Macaca fascicularis: one gene and its partners. The protein of the gene in region 1 purifies or fractionates together with the protein of each later gene. This does not show direct contact. Links are inferred from orthologs where the notes say so. Each region holds a gene or a part of one and is shown in the gene's direction. Other genes may lie near its edges.

Region 1 (3,226 bases):
TTTTCTTTTTTCTTTTTTTTTTTTTTTTTTTTTTTTACCCCCCCAAGTCGGAGTCTTGCTGTCGCCCAGGCTGGAGTGCGGTGATGTGATTTCAGCTCACTGCAATTTCCACCTCCTGGGTTCAAGCAGTTTTCTGCCTCAGCCTCCCGAGTAGCTGGAATGACAGGCATCCGCCGCCACGCCTGGCTAATTTTTATATTTTCAGTAAAGATGGGGTTTCACCATCTTGGCCAGGCTGGTCTTGAACTCCTGACCTCATGATCCACCTGCCTTGGCCTCCCAAAGTGCTGGGATTACAGGCGTGAGCCACCACGCCCAGCCCTGTGCCCAGCTGTTTTAAAAACATTTTGTAGAGATGGGGTCTTGCCATGCTGCCCAGGCCGACTTTGAACTCCTGGGCTCAAGAGATCTCCCACGTTGTTCTCCCAAAGTGTTAGGATTACGTGCGTGAGCCACTGTGCCTGGTCCAGCCTAGAGTTCTATAACCATCTAAAACAATCAAGTATCAGGGCAGAACAAAGTTACTTTCTGGTATACAGTCTTAATTATTTTAACCTTGGTTTGAACCACATGAAGAGATAAACCCGAAATGAAGCACAGAGCTATTAGGAAACAGGGGACCTAATAGGACAGAGGGTGAAAGTAAAGGTGGTCACAGCAGTGCAGCAGAGCCTCTGCCCAGAGAGCCGCCAGTCCTGGCTGGAACAGGAGGCTGCACAGCCGGGGACACTCTCTATGGAAAACACCAGAACCAGTGGGGCCTCGGATCCACTTCACCCTCTGAGCAATAGTCTGTAGTTTGTAGAAAACTATGGAGATGCTGTGGGGAGAACATGGGGAAAGTCAGCAAATGAAAAGAGAAGGCAGGTTGGGTGCGGTGGCTCATGTCGGTAATCCCAGCATGTTGGGGGGCGGATCACCTGAGGTCAGGAGTTCAAGACCAGCCTGGCCAACATGGTGAAACCCCGTCTCTACAGTAAAAATATAAAAGTTAGCTGGGCATGGTAGCATGTGCCTGTAGTCCCAGCTACTCTGGAGGCTGAGGCAGGAGAATCACTTGTACCCGGTGGGCGGAGGTTGCAGTGAGCCGAGAGATTGCGCCACTGCACTCCAGCCTGGGCGTCAGAGCGAGACTCCGTCTAAAAAAAAGAGAAGCCGTCATCAGTGGTAGGAAAACAAAAAGCTATGCAAGGAAATAGTCTGCCCCTTGACCCAGCAAAGAACATTTAGATAGAGGTACTAGCTGAAACACTGAATGTTCTTTTAACAAAAAACTGAGTCTTGGAAAGGGTAGTGGAAGGAGAGGCAGATACTGGTCTAGAGTAGGAAATGCACAGATGTGAACTCGATCATCAGGTGAGAGCAGCATGAGCTGAAAGGGTGCAGGGAGGCTTTGGGGAGTGGGATGGGAGCAGTGTGTGCACCACAGCCTTTGACAACCGGTGACTCTAAGCTGTGGGCATGGAGACTTTTGACACTATTTAATTTCAGAATAGTGCAGGTGATTCTTTCCTCTGTCCTTGGTGAGTTACGTGAGCCTGGAGGTGTGCAGGCTCCCTGCGCTGCCACGTCGGGCCCCATGCCTCGCCTGCATGGCCTGTCCACTCCGAGCGGAGCCCAGCGTTTAGGTGCGTGTTATGTCATCACCCAAAGCCTCTGTGTGCAAGTGTCATGAGGCACACACAGCCTTCCATCACTGTGGCTGGAGGTGCCCGCCACATGCAGTGTTGGCTCCCCCGTACTTAGGGCTTGGCCCTACCTGCTGTGTAGCCCATACCCTGCATGGTTAGAAAAAACAAGGTCTCTTTGACTTTCTGGCTTAGAAGCTGACCTTAGATGCTAGCTGAGGTTAATGTTTTACTGAATTGGAGAAAGAGAAAGCTCCAGTATCGCGGGCACACCGAGAATGTTTCCAGAAGCCACAGAAATTTGTAGCTGGGATATTGGGAGAAGCCTCGGACTCACACGTTTGCATCGTCTAGTCCCATACTAACTGTGTGATTCCGGGGTCAAGCTGGGTAGGAGAACCTAGCCCCTGCATCCACACACTGAGTGCCGCCATCCACACCCTCACCTGCTTGTGTGGACTGAACGTGAGATCTTCATGAGTCTGTAGTCCCCACAGGCCACACTCCTGCTCGCAGCTGCCTCCTTGGGGGAGTGTCACAGCTTTCTCTCTCCTCCTTGGCCTCTAGGCATTGAAGTGGATATTGACGTGGAGCACGGCGGGAAAAGAAGCCGCCTGACCCCTGCCTCTCCAGAGAGTTCCAGCACAGAGGAGAAGAACAGCTCACAGCCAAGCAGCTGCTGCTCTGACCCCAGCAAGCCGGGTGGGAATGTTGAGGGCGCCACGCAGTCTCTGGCAGAGCAGATGAGAAAGATCGCCTTGGAGTCCGAGGGGCGGCCTGAGGCAAGCCTGTGCCCCTCCCACCACCTGGGACCTCGGGCAGCCTAGCGATTTGTAGCTGCACCTCCGCCTCATCCTCAGCACTTATGCAGCCACTTATGAAACCTGAGGGAGCTGCTGCTGCTGCAGTGATGTCTGTGCCATTAAAGTCACTCTGGGAACCTGCTAGAACTTTGTAGTTACTTGGTCTTTGTGAGTGGCTCACTGATCCCCGTAGCCCCCTGCAGCCTTAAACACATGTGTGCGTGCACGCTCCCCGACTGTTTGCCAGGAGTCAGTGCCATGGTCAGGCTTGGCCTGTTGCGCGTGTCTCTTGTATGCTCATGGTGAGTTCTGTTTCAGGAACAGATGGAGTCTGATAACTGCTCAGGAGGAGACGATGACTGGACCCATTTGTCTTCAAAAGAAGTGGACCCGTCCACAGGTGAACTCCAGTCCCTACAGATGCCAGAATCCGAAGGGCCAAGCTCTCTGGACCCCTCCCAGGAGGGACCCACAGGGCTGAAGGAAGCTGCCTTGTACCCGCATCTCCCACCAGGCAAGTGAACCAAGAGTTCTGTGTTCAGTCCTACCTTTCCCTTCAGAGCATCCTGCCCCCCGATTCCAGCGACACAAACAGGATGGGACGTTCTCCACTGCAGGGCTTGTCTGTAGGTGTGGGAGGTTAGGAGTTGGTTTTGTCCTCTTACGTCTACCCTGAGCAGCAGTGAGTAAGCTCTGCTAATGCAGGAGTTCTAAAAATGTTTTTCTTTAAGCAAACTCCAGAGCCAGGAATATTAATTGTAGGAGTTTCTAAAACTTAACATGCAGACCAGGAAT
Region 2 (4,975 bases), on another chromosome or scaffold:
TGATCCGCCCGTCTCGGCCTCTCAAAGTGCTGGGATTACAGGCTTGAGCCACCACGCCCGGCCGAGGAGTTATCTTATTTATTTTATTTTATTTTATTTTATTTTATTTTATTTTGAGATGGAGTCTCAAACTGTCGCCCAGGCTGGAGTGCAATGGCACGGTCTTAGCTCATTGCAATTCCCACCTCCCAGGTTCAAGCAATTCTCCTGCCTCAGCCTCCCGAGTAGCTGGGACTACAGGCGTGTTTTTTGTATTTTTAGTAATTTTTTGTACTTTTAGTAGAGACGGGTTTCACCGTGTTAGCCAGGATGGTCTTGATCTCCTGACCTCATGATCCACCTGCCTCAGCCTCCCAAAGTGCTGGTATTACAGGCGTGAGCCACCACGTCTGGCCTCTAGAGGAGTTATTTATTTATTTATTTATTTATGACACAGGATCTCACTCTGTCACCCAAGCTGGAGTGCAGTGGCACAATCATGTTTCACTGTAACCTGAACTCCTAGGCTCAAGTGATCCTCCTACCTCAGCTTACCAAGTAGCTGGGACCGCAAGCTCACACCACCATGCCCACTATTTTTTTCTCTTTGTAAAGACAGGGACTTACTACGTCGCCCAGGCTGTTCTTAAACTCCTGGCCTCAAGCAATCCTCCCGTCTTGGCCTCTCAAAGTGCTAGGATTACAGACATGAGCCAGCTCGCCCAGCTGAGGAGTTATATTTTGACACTAGTGAATTCAGATCAAAAGGGATTTCTAAGAAAGGTGCTGGACCCCTGGGACGCAGAGGGATGTTTCACCCCAAAGGAAGTAGCACCAAGCCCTCCCAGGCCTAGGGTGCAAGCATATTAAAGGCCTCTTTCCCTCTCTGTCTCCATTGTCTACACTCCATTGAGCATCCGCAATGTGCCACACACTGTTCTAAGCGTCTTACACATATTACATTATTTAATCCTCACAATAACTTTATGAAGTGAGCACAATTATGAGCCCATTTTATTGAAAAGGAAATTGAGGCAGGGTTTTAGGTAGCTTTTCTGGGGTAGCACTGTGGGTTGGAGGGGAAGGTGGAGTGCACTCTTAGGCCAGCTGGCTCTAGGGGCTCTTCGCCACTAGGCCGCACTGCCTCTAGCAAAGGAACGCGGGGAAGTTCACCAGACCTTAGGCCTCCCCAGGGTGCCACAGTGGTTCTTTTGAGCCCAGAGTCAGCTCTTAGGTCCATAGGCCTTCCTGAAGCTTCTGGACCACTTGCCCACAGCTGGGCCTCAGGCTGGCTCTCAGTAGAAGGGGGAGAATGGAGATTGCCAGATGTCCACTTCTCCTAAAGGTTTTATAAGGCGGTGCTGGTAATGTGCTTTACAAAAGGGGAAGCACCCGGACAACAGTCACTGTTTGCTCTTTTGAGCACCATCCCGAGAAGGAGGAATGTTCTTCCCATTTCATAGGTGGGGAAAGTAAGGCTCAGAAAAGCAAATGTTTTTTTCCAAGGTGATAGGGAGAGTCCGTGGCTGGTGTCTGCACTGAGACCAGACAACCCTAGTGGGCCAACAAGGGCGGGGTCCCCAGGTGCAGCGGAGGAGAGAGGCCCTGGCGGAGCGCGCCCTGGCGGCGACCCGGTGAGGCGGGGCGCGGGGATGGTGCAATCCTGGGCCTGAGGGCATCAGACGGCGGCTGATTAGCTCAGGTTTACATCACCCAGGCTGGGAGCCGGGAGCGCACGAGACTCGCAGCGGAAGTGGGGGCGGCTCCGCACACGTCCGCTGTTAGGACCCGGGCCGGGCTGGAGCTGGACCGGGATCCCGAGCTCGGCAGCAGCGAAGCGGGCCGGCCCACCTGCTGGTACCCTAGAGGCTCTGAGCACCGGCGGCGCCAGGACCCACGCGGGACGGCAGGACAAGGTACTCGGCGGGGTGCGGACTGTGGACTTGCCCGGAGCCTGGGGGATTGGAGCGGGCGGCCGGGGAAGGGGCGCCGGGAGGCTCTGCGCCTCTGCGTGTTGCTGCGTGTTACGCGCGCACACACACAACACCCCTTTTAACAGACTCTGCCGTCGGGGGACACCCTGGGCCTAGTGCTCCCCCCGGGCTTCAGGTGACGCGGCCCCGCAGGGCGTGGGGTCGCCCGAGTTTGGCTGGGGAAGCCAGGGACGGAGGTGTCCGGCTGTCATCCCTAGAGGAGGGTGTGCGAGGGTCTGTTTTGCGTGAGTGTGGGACAGGGGAGTCGTGTGGTGAGGTGAGGGGCTTGTGGGGGGCACTGGAGGACTCTTTATGGGGGTGTCGGAGGATCTGCGGGGGATCTGCGGGGGTCCTCGGGAACCCGTAGGAGAGAGTTCTGGGTGAGGGTGGGTCCCGGGGACCTGTGCCTCCGGGGATGGTGAGAACTGTCTGGAGGGCTGGGCACTTGGTGGCAGGGGTTGGAGGTGCAGAGGACACGGCCGGGAGAGGGCTGGGTGGGGTGCCCTGGGAGCGAACTGAGCGAGTGGTGCGGGAGCCGAACGAGTGGGAGCGAAGTCGCAGCGCGGGATCCCCGGCCGGGCAGCGCCGCTGGTTCTTCCCGCTGCGTGGCTCCGGGTTTGCAGGTGGAAGGTGCGCGTGTGTTTGCGGTGTGTGCTGTGCCTGCAGACCGGGGAGGGCGGGGGACGACAGCCACCTCTTTCCCTCTGCCTCACCCCCTCCTGTCCCAGGGCCGCCCTTCAATTTCCGCTGAAACTTCTGACTGGGACACCGCCGCCTTTCGCTTTCGCTCCCGCTGAAGGGGCCTGGCTGCGGGGGGCGGGGCGGGGGGTGGTGGGGCCGGCCTTGCTTGTGTAGACCATGGGTGTGATAGCTGGGAGGGCTGTGTGTGTGTGTGTGCGCGCTAACGCTTACCCGTGGAGGGCAAGGGTGTGTCACTTAATGTCTGTCTTCCCTGGATGTGTTGTCGCTGGCTGGCTTAGACAGTGTCTCAGGGGTGTGTGTACACCTGTGAGCGCGCGCACGCTTGATGTAACCCGCCCTCATTTCCCTGGGTCTCGAGTATGGCAGGAAACAGCAAGAGGTAGATATTAGGGGCTGCTTTCATTCCACAGCACAGATTCTATTCTGCAGTGTGGTCTGCAAAATGCCTTGCCCAAGATTTATAGACTCAGTTACCCCATCTGTCCCCATCTGGGTGGAGCTTATCCCAGGCCCCAACAGGCTCTGAGGGATGACTGGGGCCAAGGCAGCCTGGAGTACTGATGTGGCACAGGCCAGAGGGACTCCAGGCAGTCTCCTGCTGCACAGGGCACAAAGCATGTGCACGGCCAGGTAGCATCCTGCGGGACTCAGAACAGCCTTGAGACTGTTCTGTCATCCCAGCCTCGAACCTGGGGAGCTTTCTAAGACTCCCAAGGATGGTACTTAAGCATCTTGCTGTGAAGAACAACAGGATGAGTGCTAATAGTGACCATTTCCTGACACCTACCCTGCAACAGGTCTATAAGCTCTACGTGCTTCATTTGTTTTTTCATTTCATCATCACTAAAAACCTGTAAACTTTGCATCCTGTTCCCACTTTACAGGAACTGAGGCTCAGAAAGCTTGAGGAACTTGACCAGGGGTACCCCCCAGCTAGAAAGGGTCTGAGACAGGATTAGAACCCAGGAATATCTGACTAAGCCACTCCTTACTGCGTTCTTACCAAGCCAAAGTCATGACCTTTCACTCATGTGGGGAGACCTTCCCTTCCAAGGCAGCTCTTCCGTTTAGGAGCCGCGTACTTGGAGAGGTGGGCCTCTGTCTGGTAACTGACTCATGTTTCCCTGTTCATCCTGCCTTGAACTGTTGGGAAGGTCTTTCACCAGGCTGAGGTCCCTCTCGCACCAGTGCTCAGACCTGGGCATGCACATCCTTGGAATGGAGTTTAAGTGGGTGGGCAGATGGGTTCTAGAGAGAACCTTCCTGCCCTGACATGCCCTACTGCCCTCTCCTTCAGCCACCCCACACACAGTCACACAGCTGCGTGGATGGTGGCTTTCTTTTCATTTAACAGTTCACTCTGGAGATCCTTTCGATTAGGCTATAAACAGCGTCCTCAACCTTTTAAATGGCTGCAAATTTTTCCGTTGTGTGGATGAAGTATAATTTATGTAACCAGCCCTGTAATTATAGACAGCAAATTATTTCTGTCACAAGGGCTGCAGGATAACTTTGTATTTGCATGCTTACACAAGCACACTTCTACAGGATACATTCTAGCAATGGGATTAATTGCTGAATCAAAACTCACACACTTCATTTTTTTTGTTTGTTTGTCTTTTTGAGACATTCTCACTTTGTCACCCAGGCTAGAGTGCCTAACCATGGCTCACTGAAGTCTTTACCTTCTGGGGTCAAGTGATTCCCCTACTTCAACTTCCTGCATGGCTGGGACCACAGGTGTGTGCCATTATGACCAGATAATTTTTTTTTTCTTAGGGACAGAGTCTCGCTATGTTGCCTAGGCTGGTCTTGAACTCCTGGGCTCAAGTGATCTTCCTGCCTCAGCCTCCCAAAGTGCTGGGATTACAGGCATGAAGCACTGCACCCAGCCTGTTTTTCATTTTGATATTGTCAAAATGCACTCCTCGAAAGTTGCACCTTTTATTCCCCCACTAGCACTGTGTTCATTGTTAGTGGGTGCACTGCCACTATTCCACAGAATAAACCCACTTTTCATGATACTGCCAGGACATAACAGGTCTGAAATTAAACTTAAAATTTTTCTTCCATAGTCCCCAAAATAAGGGCTTCTCCTCCAGCTCAGGACATGTAGCCATCATCTCTTCTCATTGCAGGAGCCAAAAGCTGGACCTCACCTCGATTCCACCCTCTCCGTCAACCCCCATGTCCAATCAATCCAGTCCATCCAGTCTGCCACTGAGTCCTCTTGATCCTCCTCCTATGAGCCCTTAACTTCGTGTCTCCATCTAGCAACCCCCCTAGTCCAGGTCACCTTTTCCTGCCTGGACTCCTGCTTG
Region 3 (4,797 bases), on another chromosome or scaffold:
ACATGTGGCTAGTAGCTGCTGTATTGGACAGGACAGCTGTTAAATGTCCCTCGTTTTGGGTTTGCTTACTGTTTCCCTATGATTAGTTTTAGATCATGAGCTTTTGATCAGAATACTAGAAGCATGTTGTGTTCTTTGTCTAAATTTTTATAAAAACTGTTGACAGGTGGCAGGGAACCACCTAGTCAGGCAGTGGGATTGTTTTAATGCTCTTTGAGGTCCAGCAAAGACAGGAGTGATAGCCGCATTTGGAAGCCCGCACCCACACTTTCAATGTTCTTCCCAAAAGAATTAGATATTGGCCGGGCGTGGTGGCTCAAGCCTGTAGTAATCCCACCACTTTGGGAGGCCGAGACGGGCGGATCACGAGGTCAGCAGATCAAGACTATCCTAGCTAACACGGTGAAACCCTGTCTCTACTAAAAATACAAAAAAAGTAGCCGGGCGTGGTGGTGGGCGCCTGTAGTCCCAGCTATTGAGGGGGGGGGGCTGAGGCAGGAGAACCCGGCAGGCGGAGCTTGCAGTGAGCTGAGATCGCGCCACTGCACTCCCGCCTGGGAGACAGAAAGAGACCCCGTCTCGGGGGTGGGGAGGGGGGAAGTATTAGATATGAAGCTGCTAGAGCCCGGTGGGGAGCAGGCAGGCTTGATTCTTGAACTAATCCACATTTATGCCCTCTTGGCTAAACTAGGCAGAGCTGGTTTTATTACAGTTCAGGTGTGATTAAGCATACTTTGTAAATGCTGAAGGTTGTGAAATATTCACAGGGATATAAAGTACAGTAATAAAATCTCACTTGAGGCCGGGCGTGGTGGCGACAGAGGGAGACTCTGTCTCAAAAAAAAAAAAAAAAAAAAAAAAAAAAAAATAGAAGGCCCTGTGCCTGGAAGGCAGTAAGTGCTCAATAAGTGTTGGCCTCTGCCCCAGAAGAGGAAGGGCGAGACAGATGGCAGGAACTGCGGGAGGTACCTGTCCCAGGCCCTTGGGCGTAAGAGGCCTCTCCCACGCAGGACCCAACCCATACCCAGCCTGCCAGCCAGCCAACCTCGGCGTCCCTGCCTTGCAACTACCTGCCCGGCAGTCCCCCGCCCGCTCCCACTCCCACAGGCCCAGCATGCGCGTCTCTAGGCTATGCATCCTTGCCCCTGTGACTTCAGCGTCACCCAACGTTTATTGGGCACTAACTGTATGCCTGGCCATGGGGATGCAGGAGAGAAAGACACGAAGACCCTCACCCATCAAAACTACCGGCGGAAGGAGGGGCTGTTTCACTTGGGAAGCGTGGGGATGGAATTCTCAGCCCCCTGAGGACTTCGAGGCCGGCCGCCTGCCTGGTTTCTGGCCGGACACTGGACTTCCCCTGGAAGTTGCTCGAGACTACGCGCCCTCAGCAGAAAATCAGGTCGGTTCTCGGTGCCCAGCCTAGCGCTTCTCGACCAGCAAACCAAGGCCCAGTGCCCGCCCCCGCCGCGCCGCGGCCTGCGCCGCCAGCCAACCACGCGCGGCCGAGTAGCCCTGCCCCTCCACGTGACCAATAGCCGCGCGCCCTGCCCGCCCCGCCCCCTCGCCGAGGGAGGGGTCTTGGGCCCCGGGCGGCGGTCGCCAGGTCTCAGGGTCGGGGCTACTCGAGGTAAGATCGCTGCCCGGGCGATGGGTCCTCTCGGCTCAGCACGCACGGACGCCTTTAGGGAAGGTGGCTGCAGCGGCAGTACCGAGTCCGCCGGGACGCCCTGGGTCTGGGGCCGCGGGGGCCCAGGAGGGGACAGGGCGCGCGGGGCTCCGGAAGAGTCGGCCCTGTGGCGCACGGGGTTCGGGAACATTGAGGGCTCCAGGCGCCGCATCCAGCATCCAGGGAAAAGGGGGTGGGTCGCGCTGGGCGTCTGCTCCGGCTAGGGGAAAAGTAGGGCTAGAAGGGGACGGGCAGCGGCCGCTGACCTCTTCCTGCCGCCCGCGGGCCCAGGGTGACGCTAAGTTGGGGCGGAGCCTCGACTAGTTGCGCCTTGAGGTCGAGTGCTGCTGCCCTCCCCTGGGTCCGGACAGTTCTTGGCGGCGACACCAGCTCAGAACAGCCTCCCCGCCCTCAGCGGACCTGGGTCTCGCCCAGGAATCCGATCCGAGGCTGTGAGGCCTGTGCCTTTGGTGGGGGTGGGTATTTATTTCCGGGATGCACTCAGAGCCTCTGGACAATCAGGTCGGAAACTTTGCTGCATCGGGAACACTCTGTCACCTCCTTCCTTCTCAGATGGGAAGGAGGTGCCAGGAAAACAATGAAACAAACCAAAAACACGAAAAAGGCATTCTCTGTATGGAAGCCGTGAAGCCTCAAAAATATCTAGGAGGACAGCCAGCGACCTGGGGCCTGTGGCAGCCATGTGAGGGCAGGGTTAATGTTTGTACTAAATGTTGCTTCCTCCCAAGTGCACCCTCAGCCTCCCCTCCACCAAGTGACCTTGGGTCCTCTTTGGGCTTGAAGGCAGGTGACTGTGTGGGTCTCTCTTGCTGCAGGGGTCTCTGTGCCCTGCAAGGTTTATGACTGGCTACAGTGAGGCAGCAGTTTCTGGGTTCAAATCCTGTGCTAGCCTTTGGCCAGCTGTGCACCTTGGCATCACTTTCCCTGTCACGGGATTGGGGAAGGTTTAACTGAAAGAACCTTAGGATGTGCCTGTCTGCAGTGCGCCCTCCATAAATGTGAACAAATGTGGGCTTCCTTTCCTTTTGGTTGGGCCACATCGTCCCTTCTCCTCCATCTGTGGCTTAGGCTGGAATGCAGAAGAGTGCTTCATCTGACTGCCTCCTGGTACCTGGCTGATGCCATGAGAAAGGAAGGAGAAAGGAGTCTTTTTTTTTTTTTTTTTTGAAATGGAGTCTCACTCTCTTGCCCAGGCTGGAGCGCAGCGGCCCAATCTGGGCTCACTGCAACCTCCGCCTCCTGGGTTTAGAGATTCTCATGCCTTAGCTTCCCAAGTAGCAGGGATTACAGGTGTCTGATACCATGCCTGGCTAATTTTTGCATTTTTAGTAGAGACTGGGTTTCACCATGTTGGCCAGGCTGGTCTCAAACTCCTGACCTCAAGTGATCTGCCCGCCTTGGCCTCCCAAAATGCTGGAATTGCAGGCATGAGCCACCATGCCTGGCCGAGAAAGGAGTCTGTTAACTCCCACAGAGTTGTTCTTTGCTTATTTCTTGAAGGCTCAGAGGACCCCCACCTCACCTTCCTGACTCTCCCGACCTGTCATTAGTACTTGCCCCAGGAGGAATGCAGCAGCGCCTGGTGGTTGGCAAAGCAAGTCGTGCATGTGAGGTTCTGAGGCCAGTGACAAGACTGTTTCCCCTGTGAGGAGGGTCTGGTGGCCCAGCAGCTTTTAGATGCTGTCTGCTTGCAGCACTGCCTCCTGAGAGAGGTTTCATGCCTGCCTGATGCCCATTTGGTCCTCTCCTGTCTCCTTCCCTCCCTGACAACCCACTTGGAATCCAATAGCATCTCAAGCTTCACTTGTTCAGACCTGAGTTCTGGAGTTCCTTCTGAGCCACTGCTCCTCCCCTGGCTTCTTTGGCTTGGTAAAAGGGCACCTTCCATCCATCCAGTGCCCAAGGAGTCATCCTTCTTTTCTCTCCCTTATCTCCTACACCCTCAAAACACCAGGAATCTGGCTGCCTCCTTCCATCTCTGTGGTTCCCATCCTGACCATAATCATCCTGTCTCCTGGGCTGTGGCCTCCTGACTGGTCTCCCAGTTTTCATCCTGGCCCCTCCAAAGTCCTCACAACCACCAGAGAAGTCTTTAACGCAAATCAGATCCTCTTCTTTCCCTGCCAGAACCTTCCAGTGGTTCCCTGTTTCACACCAACTAAAACCCAGAGTCCTTTCTTATAGCACTCTACATGAGTGGCCCCTGCCACCTCCTTGACCTTGACAATCTCTGCCCCTTTCCCTAGCTTGCTTGCTTGCTTTTTTTTTTTTGATGGAGTTTTGCTCTTGTCACCCAGGCTGGAGTGCAATGGGCACGATTTCGGCTCACTGCAACCTCTGCCTCCTGGGTTCAAGCAGTTCTCCTGCCTCAGCCTCCTGAGTAGCTGGGATTACAGGCACCCACCACTATGCTAATTTTTGTATTTTTATTTTATTTTTTTTTATTTTTATTTTTATTTATTTATTTATTTATTTATTTTTTGAGACGGAGTCTCGCTCTGTCCCGGGGCTGGAGTGCAGTGGCGCGATCTCGGCTCACTGCAAGTTCCACCTCCTGGGTTCACACCATTCTCCTGCCTCAGCCTCCCGAGTAGCTGGGACTACAGGCGCCCACCACCGCACCTGGCTAATTTTTTGAAGTTTTTAGTAGAGATGGGGTTTCACCGTGTTAGCCAGGATGGTCTCGATCTCCTGACCTCGTGATCTGCCCGCCTCGGCCTCCCAAAGTGCTGGGATTACAGGCGTGAGCCACTGCGCCCGGCCAATTTTTGTATTTTTAGTAAAGAAAGGGTTTCACCATGTTGGCGAGGCTGGTCTCGAACTCCTGAGCTCAGGTGATCCACCCACCTAGGCCTCGCAAAGTGCTGAGATTACAGGCGTGAGCCACTGCACCCAGCCATCCCTAGCTTTCTTAACCTAGACCACACTGACCTGCTTTCTGTTCTTCAAACATGCCAAGCTCATTCCCATTTTAGGATTTTTGCATTTACCATACCCTTTGCCTAAAGCACCAATCTTCTCAGAGCCTGAGAACGGCTCAACTGTGTTCTGAATGCTAGTTCAAAAAGGCTTCTTTGACCCCCTAGTTCAAGTAGCATGCCTGTCTC
Region 4 (5,076 bases), on another chromosome or scaffold:
TTTGGAGGATTTGTGGCTCCTAGATGCATGTAAATTTTAGGAATACTAAATGTGAGGCATTTATTTATTTGTTTAGAGACAAAGTTTCTTCTTGTTGCCCAGGCTGGAGTGCAATGGTGCAATCTTGGCACACTGCACCCTCTGACTCCTGGGTTCAAACAATTCTCCTGCCTCAGCCTCCGGAGTAGCTGGGATTATGGGCACCCACCACCACACCCAACTAATTTTTGTATTTTTAGTAGAGACAGGTTTTTGCCATGTTGGCCAGGCTGGTCTCAAACGCCTGACCTCAGGTGATCCGCCCACTTCGGCCTCCCAAAGTGCTGGGATTACAGGCATAAACCACTGCACCCAGCCTGAGGCAAATATTTAATCTCTTAACCTGATGTTCAGTGGTTGCTATTTAGTTAACATCATATCTGGATTGTCCCGTGGACATTCAAGAGGATGGAAAAGTCTACTATGTTTGGAGAGCAGCAAGGGATAGGGACTATGTCCCTTGTTTCTTTTTCTTTCTTTCTTTCTTTTTTTTTTTTTTGAGATGGAGTTTCGCTCTTGTTGCCCAGGCTGGGGTGCAGTGGCGCAATCTTGGCTCACCGCAACCTTCACCTCCCGGGTTCAAGCGATTCTCCTGCCTCAGCCTCCCGGGTACCTAGGATTACAGGCACTCGCCACCACGCCCAGCTAATTTTGTATTTTTAGTAGAGACGATGTTTCACCATGTTGGTCAGGCTGGTCTCGAACTCCCAACCTCAGGTGATCTGCCCGCCTCGGCCTCCCAAAGTGCTGAGATTACAGGCGTCAGCCACTGCGCCCGGCCGGGGCTGCCTCTTAACGCGAGAATTTCCATAATTTCTACGGAAATGCAAACGTTTCTGGGCTGTGCTGGGCTTTGCACGAGTAATGATTCTTAAAAACATCCGTTCCTTGGCCGGGCGCGGTGGCCCATGCCTGTAATCCCAGCACTTTGGGAGGCCGAGGCGGGCGAATCACGAGGTCAAGAAATTGAGACCATCCTGGCCAACACGGTGAAACCCCGTCTCTACTAAAACTACAAAAATTAGCTGGGCGTGGTGGCGCGCGCCTGTAGTCGCAGCTACTTGGGAGGCTGAGGCAGGAGAATCACTTGAACCCAGGAGGTGGAGGTTGCAGTGAGCCTAGATCGCGCCACTGCACTCCAGCCTGGGCTGGGGACAGAGCGAGACTCCATCTCAAAACAAAACAAAAATCCGTTCCTCTATTGAGACAAAAAAGGAAAAAAAATCACAAGATTCACGTGAAACGGAAAAGCCTCTGCCTTTCAGAACCTTGGTAAAGTCGAACCCCCTCTCCTTTCTGGTTGGGTTGGGTTAGAGAAGCCAGCCCCTGGCACCTGCGCCGCCCCTACCTTCCCACCCTGCGGTGGGGGTAGTTGTTCCTCTGAGCCTGAGCACCTCTTAAGCTGTTTCACTCCCTCCCCTCCCTTGAGTTTCGCATCTCCGCCCCCGCCCAACCCCCCGATTTATAATCTTGGGGTTTGGAAGGAGGGAGGGGGCAAAAACGGGAGCCAGATGTGTAAGAGTCCTCCGCTCCCGCCTCCTCTCTCCTCTCGGGCTTCCTAAAACCCGGAGCCCTAATCAAGGAGGATTCGGAGCCAGACGGTCGCGGCGAAAGCAAACAACTCGGCTCCGCGGCTCCCCCGGGAGTGGAAGCCAGGAGGGAGGGGGAGAGGAAGCCGGGCGTGCTCAGTAGGCGGGACAAAGTTTTTTTTTTTTTTTCTCCCGTTTTTTTCGGTCGCAAGTAGGAAGCTTTTTGCACTCCACCACCTCTGGCCGCTGGGAAGACGTCATCGCTTCCGCCCTACTTCCTCCTCCTGTTGGCGGCGGTGAGAATCCAATATGGAGTAAATCGGTGGAGTCGAGAGATGGGGCTCGGACGGGGCGCCCTGCACTGCCTCCCAGGCGCACCTCCCCCGGCCGCCGACCGCTCCCCGGAACCGTGATTGGCCCGGCCCCCCGGGGGCGACCCCGGACCGAGTCCCCCCACCCGCGGCCGGCGCTCTCCTCCTCCTCGCAGCAGTCCCCGCCGCTCCAAGGCGCGCTTGTTTTTCTCCTGCTCTCCCCCACCGCCGTCCCCTTCCCAAATCTCGCCCCCTTTGCCCGCTCCCGAGCCCCCGGAGCCTCCGCCCGCCTCTCCCCACGGCGCTGCGGCGTTCACTCCCCTTGCAGCCTGCCTTTGCACCCCTTCCCCCAAACCTCACCCCGCTCCCTGCTTCCCCTTCTGCTGCGGCGCCCCCATCTCTAGCCGCCCCCCCTCCCCAAATCAGGCGATCTCCGGAGATGTGAAGAAGGGGGGCGAGCGGACAGGAAGATGAAGGGAGCAAAGCTGCCCGCCGCGGGACAGGCGTCTAGGTGAACAAGAAAATGACCGAAGAAACACACCCGGACGAGTAAGTTTGGTCGCGGGGTGGGACGAGGGTGCCCCGCGGGGGCAGCGTGGGGGCCGGGGCTGAGGATGCGGGCGGGGACGCTTATTGGGTGAACTTGGCGTGGGGTGCAGCGACTCGCTGACCTGTCGGGGTTGGGACGCGAGGCTTCCCTGCTTGTTGAAGTGAGGAGGGGGCAAAAACTGCTGCGGGCTGGCGGGCGCACGCCTAGGGTCGGCGGGCTGGTGGCCGCCCCGGGGGCCAAGGGCGTGCGGGTGACCTCCGGGCGGTCCCCGCTCCCTCTCCGAGGACTCACAGCACCCCCCCGCCCCCGAAATCCTCGGCGGCTGGAGCGGAAGACCTGACACCCCCACTCCGGCTTCCCGGGGCCGGTGGGTTTTTGCACAGTGACTTTGTGACTCCCGCCGCGCCGCGAGCCCCGCAGTCCGCTCCTGAGCCCACTGGGGCCTAGGCTCCGCCATTTCGTTTTCTTGAATCGCTCTCATTTGCATACCACATTTTCATTCATAAAAAACACGGCGGAGCGAGAGGAGGACGGGCGCGGGCTGCGCTGGGGTCTGGTGCGCCAGGGTCCCCGCGCGGGCCGGCGTGCTGGAGCCGCCCGAGGGGCCCCGCTGTGCGTGAGTGCCTGTGCACGCGCTTGTGGTCGGCACACGCGTCCTGCGGGGTCAGGCGGCTCGGGGCGGACCTAGGCGAGTGCGGCGGGGGCGTGCGGGGCAGCGCTCTGGGGGCGAGTGTGTGTGTGTGTCCTCGCGGGTGCGCGTGCACGGGCTTGTGCCCGGCCCGCAGGCCCGAGGGGAACAATGCTTGGGGCGCTCCGCCGGAGGGATCCCGGGCAGCCCCGCGCGGGACCCGTGACTGTCGCCAGCCCGGGGCGGAGGTGCAGCTGCCTCCTGCCTCGCGGTCCAGGGGTCCAGTTTGGCATTTTCTCTTCCTGGTCCGAGGCGTTTTCTGTTTCGGGTGCGACGGGGGCGGGGCCGCGGGGCCCGACACCTCAGGTCTTCTGCCTGGGGTCCGAGCGGTCATCGCGCGGCGGCCGCCGCTGCTGCTCAGTGGCTGTGCCCGCCACCAGCCACTTTTTTTTTTTTTTTTTTTTGTGAATAAGACGCTCTCCTTTATTGTCACATGATATCCCTCCCCTCCTCCCCTGCACATTCATAAATCCGGAGTCTGCATCGGTTCCTTTCATTCAGTGCTGCCATTAGCCAAGGTAGTGGTGGCGCGGGCTTGGGCTCAAAGAGCCGGTTGGCAGCCGCGGGGACGCGCCCTGGAGGGAGGCCCCGCGCGCGTCTTAGCAGTGGAGTGCGGGCTGCGGGAGGCGTGCTCCAGAGGCCCCAGGTCTTTTGCCCCCCGCAGGCATTGGGCCTCAAGAGTGCTGGGAGGGGAAGTGACTCAGGGCTGGGCGACAGGGAGGCTTGTCTCTTGCAGCAGGTGACAGTGTTGTGCTCTACTCTAAGAAATCTACTCACTTTATTAAATATACCCCCTTTATCCTTTGGCGTCTGCTGTTGCCAGTCTGGGCGGGAGTGGGGCTGCTGTTTGGGGAAAGGAATTTCAATTTCCTTCCTGTGAGTCCCCAGGGAACTTTGACTGCAGTAACCCCTGATCTTCCAGACACCCGTCACAGGAGAGGATCCCTGCTGGTGTGCCTGTCGCAGATGTCCCACCACATCTGCTGGTGTTTCTATTTCAGACGTTTTGCTTTGTCTTCGTATATAGCATCTTAAAATGGTAAAATGAAAAAAAAGTTGCGCTTTTAGCGCTGAAATATAGAGAAGGATTATGCTGCTGGGCCTTGCTGCCTTGTGAACGTGGCCAATAAATCAGTATTTTTATGGGCCCTCGATTGTACCTGCACACAGAGTAGCAGCAGTGGCAGTGAGGTTGGTTGCTGTGCTCTGGCCTTGCAGATTCTTGGAGAGGTTTGACCGCTCTACCTTGGCTCCACTCCTTGGGAATACAGGCCTGACCTGGCCCTTTTTGTGGCAGCTTGTCAGCCTTGCATCTTTCTCCATCTGCTATCCAAAGCAGAAGGATTTCGAGTGGGATCACCAGCGAGGAAAGAATAGTTCCATTTTAGGCTCTCAGAGCAAGTTCAGCATGAAGCTGCAGCCTCCACTGCTGTCACAAGTCCAGTTGAGAGGATAGATATTTGAGGAGTTCTAGTTTCACTTAGAGGCTGAGAAAGCCTTGGCATCTTAGCCACTGAAGAAATGGGCTATAGGGGTTATTTTTAATGTGATGACCTTGGCACGAGACTTTACATGCCTGAGAAGAAAGCGACTTCGTGGGCTGTAAACTGCCATGGTAGCTACCGTCTATTATTATGTTCAACGTACCTGTGTAATGACGCATCTGAAAAATTCCTTTTAAGTGTTAGTGACAGTAAGGTTTCTCTCTCTGAATTACAGAGCTTGCTGTGATTGCTTTTTTGTTGTTCAGGTGTTGTTTGCTGCCACTGTCTTTAAGTCCAGAGCTAAAATTATTGTTTGATTAAGGTAGCCATATTTGCTTAGGTTCTTGCTAGATTCCTACTCTGGGTGAATTTTGTTCTATTTTTTTCTTGTAATGATTTTATGTTTGAGGTCTCTCAGATACCTTTTGGAACCAGGCAGGGGTTGTTACTTAAGAGAACTGTGGCATCAAACTGG

Evidence for each region.
Region 2: the proteins of SQSTM1 (region 1) and TRIB3 purify together in Homo sapiens (affinity purification with western blotting; 3 studies listed by BioGRID). This does not show direct contact. The link is inferred for Macaca fascicularis from reciprocal best matches to the Homo sapiens genes SQSTM1 and TRIB3.
Region 3: the proteins of SQSTM1 (region 1) and MAVS purify together in Homo sapiens (affinity purification with western blotting; 3 studies listed by BioGRID). This does not show direct contact. The link is inferred for Macaca fascicularis from reciprocal best matches to the Homo sapiens genes SQSTM1 and MAVS.
Region 4: the proteins of SQSTM1 (region 1) and SPRED2 purify together in Homo sapiens (affinity purification with western blotting; 3 studies listed by BioGRID). This does not show direct contact. The link is inferred for Macaca fascicularis from reciprocal best matches to the Homo sapiens genes SQSTM1 and SPRED2.

Annotation. Positions count from the first base shown.
Region 1 is NC_088380.1:186,725,328-186,728,553, forward strand, and holds part of SQSTM1 (sequestosome-1), read left to right. Parts: intron 1-2,195; coding exon 2,196-2,410; intron 2,411-2,749; coding exon 2,750-2,945; intron 2,946-3,226. UniProt on the Homo sapiens protein: Molecular adapter required for selective macroautophagy (aggrephagy) by acting as a bridge between polyubiquitinated proteins and autophagosomes.
Region 2 is NC_088384.1:87,030,896-87,035,870, reverse strand, and holds the start of TRIB3 (tribbles homolog 3), read left to right. Parts: upstream 1-1,748; 5' UTR 1,749-1,822; intron 1,823-1,862; 5' UTR 1,863-1,895; intron 1,896-4,975. UniProt on the Homo sapiens protein: Inactive protein kinase which acts as a regulator of the integrated stress response (ISR), a process for adaptation to various stress. Inhibits the transcriptional activity of DDIT3/CHOP and is involved in DDIT3/CHOP-dependent cell death during ER stress.
Region 3 is NC_088384.1:83,439,702-83,444,498, reverse strand, and holds the start of MAVS (mitochondrial antiviral-signaling protein), read left to right. Parts: upstream 1-1,570; 5' UTR 1,571-1,630; intron 1,631-4,797.
Region 4 is NC_088387.1:56,458,630-56,463,705, forward strand, and holds the start of SPRED2 (sprouty-related, EVH1 domain-containing protein 2), read left to right. Parts: upstream 1-1,849; 5' UTR 1,850-2,402; coding exon 2,403-2,428; intron 2,429-5,076. UniProt on the Homo sapiens protein: Negatively regulates Ras signaling pathways and downstream activation of MAP kinases. Recruits and translocates NF1 to the cell membrane, thereby enabling NF1-dependent hydrolysis of active GTP-bound Ras to inactive GDP-bound Ras.